2 linked regions of the Drosophila melanogaster genome follow. The protein of the gene in region 2 interacts with the protein of the main gene of each other region in a pairwise test. Each region holds a gene or a part of one and is shown on either strand. Other genes may lie near its edges.

Region 1 (3,754 bases), on a different chromosome or scaffold from region 2:
CCTGATCGTAGAGAGCTTCGCGCACCATACTCTTGATGAAATCATCTGCATTTCCTGTAAAGAACTTTGCATTTTTAATGCCATTCGCTTCCGCATTAAACTCGGCATCCTTAATCGCATCAGGGACGATCTCCACGCCCATCACTTTCTTGCAGTGCTTGGCGAACGCAAGGGTAATGGTGCCAGTACCACAGCAAATATCCAACATAGTTGTGTCCTTAGTAGGAGCAACTAGATCAATGGCCTTTTGATACAACACGTTGGCTCCTTCTGTGTTGATTTGGAAAAAGGCCAGTGGGCTGATTCGAAACTGGAGACCCTGTATGGTATCGGTGATGTGGGTGCTGCCCGAAATGTGTTCCACCGGATTAATCGTCTGACCTGCTTCCCGATGCTTGACATCTTGGTAATACAGAGAGCTGCATTTGTACGGAGCATCATTTGCCAGATCTTCGTAGAAGGACTTCAGTTCTTGCTTAAGTTCAACTTGTTCGTCTTCACTTAAGTTCGAGGAGTATATGCCCGCCACCAGCATTAGTTCACCTGTGGCACTGGAGCACCGCACCATTAGCTGCCGGAAGTGGCCAATATTTCCGTCCGGATTGAAGGGCAAGAACTTGGACTTCCTCACCAAGTCCTGGAAACTGCGAGCAGCCCACTTGGCCTGCTCCGGTAGATGTGGCAAGTCTGCGACCTCGGCTACTTCCACAGATCCATCGCTGTAGCAGCCCAATCTGAAGCCCACAACCACTTCGCCTACGGAGTTCTTTCCCACGGTGAACTCGTTTTTATTTCTATACCCATTAACGGTGGGTGAGGGAAGCACCTCGTGGAATTGGAACTTATCCAAGTGGGGCTTTGCCCGCGGATTGACCTTCCGAAGTTCCTGGGTGTATTTCGCCAGAAGTGCCGACATTTCCTCGGATTTTTGTTTAATCTGCTGGTCGTAGGCAATGTGCGACAGAGGACACGTGGCTTCCACCGCCGTACGTTGTTTCTTGGGCTTTCTCTCCGACTCCTGTTCCTCGGCAGCTCGCTTTTTCTGTAGAGGATCGGCCGAGGCCTTGGCAACATGAGCCTTCAACACCTTTCCCTTCCATTTGTATCCATTCAGGATCTCCAAGGCCCTTTGTTGATCCTCCTGACTGCGGAAGCACACAAAGGCGAACTCTTTTCGAGTTGGAGCCTTGATTTTGGTCACGTCAAATTTGAGGGTGTTTCTCAAAAGCTTCTTAAACTCCTGCAAAGTTATAATGTTGTTATATTCATATAAAGGCTTAGATTTCAACTACCTACCCCAATACCGAAATATCCCATGTTCTTCACTTCAACTTTGAATATTTCCGAAGTGAATTCATTTCGCTCCAAGTAAGCATATTCCTCGCCGGCTTTTCCGGCTTCATCCTCACCATTTGCCAGCGTGGTTTCATCAGCTTTCACTACATTTTCCGAAATCTCTTCGGTCTCTATGCTATTAACCACTCCGTCAGCTGGTATTTCCGCATTGAAACACTCCATTTGCTTAAAAGAAGCCGATTTATTAAGGAAAATGAAATATAAACAGAAAGAAAACACGTGAAGATGCAACAGTGTGACCGTCCAGTCTAAAATGTATATAAACACCAGCGGCTATGCCGGTGGTGGGTGTCTTCGCTAAATAATATCAACATTTTCTAAAATACATAAAACTCTTCTACAGGCTCTCAAAAGATAACGGATACATAACACACTTGGCGCCAAATTCGAAACATCATAAGAAAGGCAAGAGTCGAAATCTAGGTTATTATAGCAAGGTCAATAAGGCAGTGTATTTCTGCGTAAGGAAGTAAGATCTAGTTGACACATTGGTTGTTTATCAGATCCATCCAAATGATGGGAAATTAAATATGGAATAAGTTTGCATTCCGATTCATGACGAACGGCCAAAAAAATTAACGTTCCTGAAAATCTGCAAGCCAAATAAAATAACCCATTTTTGTTTTGGTTTGCATACTTTGGCAGCTTTATTCTTAAATTGATTAGTTATCCAACTAAAGGGTATATGATAATCGAGCATACCGACACTAGCGTTCCTTCTGCTTAATTCTCAACTGGTTCAAAGCGCTCAAGCGCAGAACTCAAAATGACTTGTCGTTCCAACAACAATTGTTGCATTTCCGGCTCGTGCTTCATGATGTTTCGAATTTCTCTGAGCATTTCCGCCGCGTTTCTCAGCTTCTCCTCGCAATCCAATGGGTCTTTCGAGCGCAGAGCCTGCGTCACTAAAGCTTCCTCCATGTCTATGAGCAGATTGCCCCGGAATATGCTCCAACCGCCATCGAAAATGTCGGCCAGTTTAAGGAGTTCCTCACATAGTTGCAGTTTTCTGTTCAGCGATTCTCCAGAAAGTTCTGAAACAAAGAGTTTCTTACAAAAATGCATAATTAAAATTAAATATTTTTATTACCCTCCATTGCGAATCCCGGAGCACTTCCGTATAGTTGAGTGAGAGCATATTTGGCCTGCAAAATGTGGGTATTGGTCTCATGGAGATCAGCACGATGGCGATAAATGAATTCCTCGAGAGCAACGGGAGTCGTTTTGTCCAATGACTCCAATTCTTGCTGAAGCTCCGCATCTGAGGTAACCACATCCTTCGCCGATCTTTTAAAATTGCACAACTGACACTTCCAGGGCGCAGAGTTTAGAAGGGGATTCAGTGATATAATCTACAAGAGGGCAGGAAATTGTTATATAAAGAACTATAATCGAATATGTATGTAACAGGCATAAGGGAGCGTTTCAGAGCCTTTAACGTAAATATATTATTGATCAGGATCGCCAGCCGAGCCGATCTTATCATGACCGCCACGTCTTTGGCGTTACTAGAAACTGCATGCTTAATCTAGATTCTAGCTTTAAAAGTTTGGGAGATTTCGACATTCATAGGGAAAAACAGGCGAACAGACAGACGGACGGACATTAATGGTTCTGAATTTCCGAAGAGGTTTGTTGTTGACGAAAACCCCAGTCGGAAATTTCCTTTCTTATTGCTGTACAAATGCTTCCTTAGATCTGATCTTACTTTTCCTGCCTTGCATTTGAGACACGTTTGGGCTCCTGCAAAGCTGCCCAACTCCTCGGGATCCTGACACCTGGCGCATGAACAGTCGAAGCACTTGGCCTGCCTGAGGTGAACTCTTCTTTGAATGGTGCTCCTCAGGGGTTGGGTGTAGGAAATGCTCAAAATTTCTCCCTTGGCTATCTTCCTCTTGGCCAGGAAGACAATGTTCATGTCGTCATCGAAACGATGCCTCATATTCGGAACGCAGTCGTGCGAGATCATCGCTGCTCCAGGATAGAGAGCTCGGATTTTTCTCCTTTCCCTGGGTTGTCTGACCTCAAAGGTGTTTGTGTCCAGTATAGCGGCTATGCGCAGGATATCCATCTCCGGCCAATCCTTCATGCCCAATACAGTCTTTATGAAGGTGATGAGATTGGCACGTAAGACTTGGTACAGCGGAGTCTCCAGGCGCTCCTTCAGGTGATCCTCCAGGTTGTAAAGCTTGAGGAAGGCATCGGGATCTTTGTCTTTAAGATGCATGCAGCGGAGCAGCATGATCACACAGTAAGCCGACTCCTTTCGCTCCTCCTCTCCAGGCACATAGTTTATTTTGGACTGAAAGTTGCTACCCGACATTAGCTGGCACTCAGCCTTGTGATGGACAGAGTCCTCGCACTCTTTCCCACACAGAGGCCAACTGCAGGAGCTGCA
Region 2 (3,754 bases):
AAGTACAACAGCTCCATTATGAAAATCGCAGACGCTACTGCGATGGCTGCTCCACAGACCCGCCAGACGATCTCCAAGTCCCCGATATTCAGGGGCTTAAGAGTCTCCAGATCGCTATAGTCCTTAATGCTCATCTTGCCGGCCTTGATCATATCGTAGAAGCTCTTTCGGATCCAGTGCTTCATTAGACCTGCTTGGTGGATACGAAAGGTAAAGTCCTTTATGGACTCCCAGTAAATCGAATCGGGGGCCACAATAACGCTGGTGGGCATGAAGTCGAAGAAGCAGAGATCCTTAGACCAACGGAAAAGCGGTTTGGAAAAGTGTCGCTGCTGGGTTTTAATCACCAGCCACTTTATGTAGGGCATGGTGTAGGCCCACGTTGTGTTGAAGTGGTTGCGCAGATCGTACAGCTCGTTGGGATCGTCAATCAGGTAAAATACACCTGCATACCGCGCCCGGAAAGCTCCATCAAAGTTGTAGAATTCGTTTCGCATGCCCAGGATCTTCTGGTCACCGCGAAGGAGATCCTCGAAGCTGGCTATTCTCACGTGGTAGGGCGGAAATATCAGGAGCGATAGCAGTTGGGCACTGCAGGTGGTTAGCAGTAGCAGGGTCAGCAGATGGGGCACGATCCGTGCCGGTCTTGAGTTCTTCAAACGTGTCAGGCAACGCAGTTGCCTGAACACCAGCCAGGTTACGAGGATGATGAGTAGCAGGGTCATCGCCAACGTTGGACACACGATTCGGCCGAACAGATCTGGTGTTGCCAACGGTTTTTCCACCGGCAACATAGTGCACCAGCTGGAGACCAATAGCGGATAGGTATACTGATGGATGGCCCAGAGATTCCACTTCGTGATCAGTGTGGTGGTCAGGCCCACGTCTATGAGGCCCTTCGCGGAGTACTCCAACATGTAGGAACTATCAGAGGCCGAACCTGCCCGCCAACTGGGACGAACTACCTCCAGACCAGCATTAAGCCGACCGGCAAAAGTGGCCAAGAAGTCCCACAGGTAACCGGTCACCTGGTTGTCGCCCCTGGCATCGCGATAGAAGAAGGTGTTGGGCGGCGAGAGATCCGGAATTACACGCAGACGATGTCCCCTCAGATCATCCAATTTATGGAGAAACAATTTCACGCCTTGCCCGACTGAAATCCAACGCATTACCAGCTCGAAACTGGGAAACGCTCGGAAGGAGTAGAGGATCAGGGAGTGGTGGTAGTCACGGAAATACAGCTCCACATGCAGCATGCTCCGGCGCAGACAAAACGAGAGATACTGCCTGGCCAGCGTTACTTGATCAGGACCTGCCACTTCGATAAGCAATCGAACCACCGTCCGCAGGTGGCTTAGGCTATTGGCTAGGATCTCTAGTTGAATTGCAGCTCTGGAGTCCATCGGCAAGCAAGCCAGCACCAAGAGTTTCGCATTAAACTGATAGTAAAGGTCCGGGTATGAATAGTTGCGCTGCCACACGATCTGCGGATGAGCAGTTAGGTTCCGCTGCCACAGGACCCCCCAACTGCAGTCGAGTCCTGCGGGATTGAAGTATACCAGTGTGGTGTGCTCTCCACTCAGCAGAAAGTGAACCACCAGGCCGTAGAGATCCAGCAGTTCGGCGGAAAGGCCAGTGCTACGGTTCAAGCTTGCCAACATGTCGCCGGCATCGAAGGAATCGACTGACGGGCTTCACAACTTTGGTCTGAAACGTGGTCTGCACCACGCAGTGTACGCCACTCCTTATCGTGAGCCATCCGGTATAATTGACCGAGGACGATTGCATAGCGACAATCGCATTGTTTGCACAACGCGATGGCTCTGGCTTTGCAACTCCCAAGTATTTGCCTTGGGGACATGAGGTTGGAATCAATCTACAAAGAGTGAATTCTATGGTCCAAATCGTTTAAAAACACATGGCTTGCTATGAATAAGATTTTTGGATCCGGAGTATTCCGATCTTTGTATCATTTTGACAAATATTTTTTGTGTTGTAAATACATGCAGCGTTTATTTTGTGAAAACACTTATGGCGACTAGTGCATGCTAAAAAATAAATGCCGACTTTTAAGTTTAAAAAACTTTCGAAATTCCCAATGCCACCCACATTCATCAACGAAATTAAAATAACCGATAATCGAATTCCTTCTAACTCAAGCAATGAAAGCCGACTCAAAACCAGAAAAGTCCGGCAACAAAACAAGAAATCAGCGCATTTAGAACTAGTTGTTTCGGTGCGCCTAACTCGGTTACTTTGGTCGAAGTGGACCACTCATCTGTGTCACCTTTTTGGGGAGCCCACCTTTTGCGCGAAAATCCCCTGGAAAGGACACCAAAAACGGTCGCAAAGAACGGAGAGTATGCGGCGGGTGCACACGCAAGTATTTCCAGGCGAAATGTTTTGCGCATTTCGCCGCCGCGTTTTTCAAATACACTTGCGACATTTGACAGCTCCAACTGTCAGTGCAATGTGCTCGGTGTGTCGCTGTGTGTGTGTGTGTGAGTGTGAGCAGGTGCGGCTGCGGGTGTATCTGGGCGCGTATCTGTATCCGTGTGTTGCATGTTGATTTTGCCGAGTTGTTTTGTGCACTTCCTCCGCCTCATACACCCCTCTCACATTCAACAACGTTAAAGCTTCAGCTGCCATTGGCATTCATTCACGTGGCATCGCCATCGCCATAGTCATCGTCAATTCGACCCTGACGCTGGCTGCAGTTGTAAATAAATTTGCATTTTTGTCAATTTTGATGGCGACCACATGCACACACACACACACACACTCAACTCTCCACACACCCACACATGGCATGGTGTTAGGGGTGTTGGGGCCTCACCAACACACACATAGCCACGCATGAATGCCTGCAAAGTATGCAAAGTTTATTCATGAACGAGTGTTTTGCGGCCACATCAACTTGCCAGGGCTGGCAAAGCCACCTTCCAGCGATCGCCAGAGTGTCCTTTTCGAATGCTTTGGATCAAGACTCTCTGGGTGAGAAAACGTTCGTTAAAACTGTCAGAAAATAGTTTAATAAGCATTTTAATTATATAGAAAAAATTAAATAAAAATAAAAAGTAAATATCTAAACATAAATTTTGCTGTGGCACCTATTAGTATTCATTCAATACACTAGGTAACACATATGATTTCGCCAAGACCGACGTTAAAACTAATTGTTAAAAATAATTTATGGTTTCCTATGAGCGATCAACAGTTCTTTGAAACATTTGATCATAATTTGGTTGTCCAATTTTTTTCCAGCATACCTGACATTTGAGTATCTACCTTTGTACACTATTCAAAAACTGTCGCTTAACCATGTTTTTGATAACGATTCATAGAGGGATTACCCTGGACCTTAATGGTATTACCTGTCCAGCCCCACATTGACCATCTTACCCATCTGCACCCCGCGATATAACCATACCAAAACAATGCAGCTCTCTGGTCAGATGCAGATGGGCCGGGAATGGAAATGAAAATGGTCATGGAAGTGGGGCGGCGGGCTGTGGACGATAGTCCTCGCATTAGGACCTTGATGGTCGTCGGAATGGTGGGGGGAGGGGGGTGGGGTTGGTGGAAAAATTTGTTGTTCAAATGGTCAACAAAGTTGCTGACTGCGTTTTTGGTCATCACTTTGTCGTCATTCTTGTGGTGCGCCCGACATTGTTGTTGTCGCTTCAATTGTTGTTGTTGTTGTTGCTGTTGTTCTCGTTATTATTGCTATTGTTGTTATTGTTGGTGTTGTTGC

Evidence for each region. The genes of interacting proteins can lie anywhere in the genome.
Region 1: the proteins of Ir20a (region 2) and CG3808 interact in a two-hybrid assay, tested with the Drosophila melanogaster proteins (one large-scale study listed by BioGRID).

Annotation. Positions count from the first base shown.
Region 1 is NT_037436.4:18,999,003-19,002,756, forward strand, and holds the start of CG3808 (uncharacterized protein), read right to left. Parts: upstream 1,607-3,754; 5' UTR 1,519-1,606; coding exon 1,297-1,518; intron 1,241-1,296; coding exon 1-1,240. Other genes in the region: SmydA-2 (SET and MYND domain containing, arthropod-specific, member 2), read right to left, coding at 2,080-2,390, 2,447-2,708, 3,065-3,754.
Region 2 is NC_004354.4:21,477,285-21,481,038, forward strand, and holds the start of Ir20a (ionotropic receptor 20a), read right to left. Parts: upstream 1,662-3,754; coding exon 1-1,661.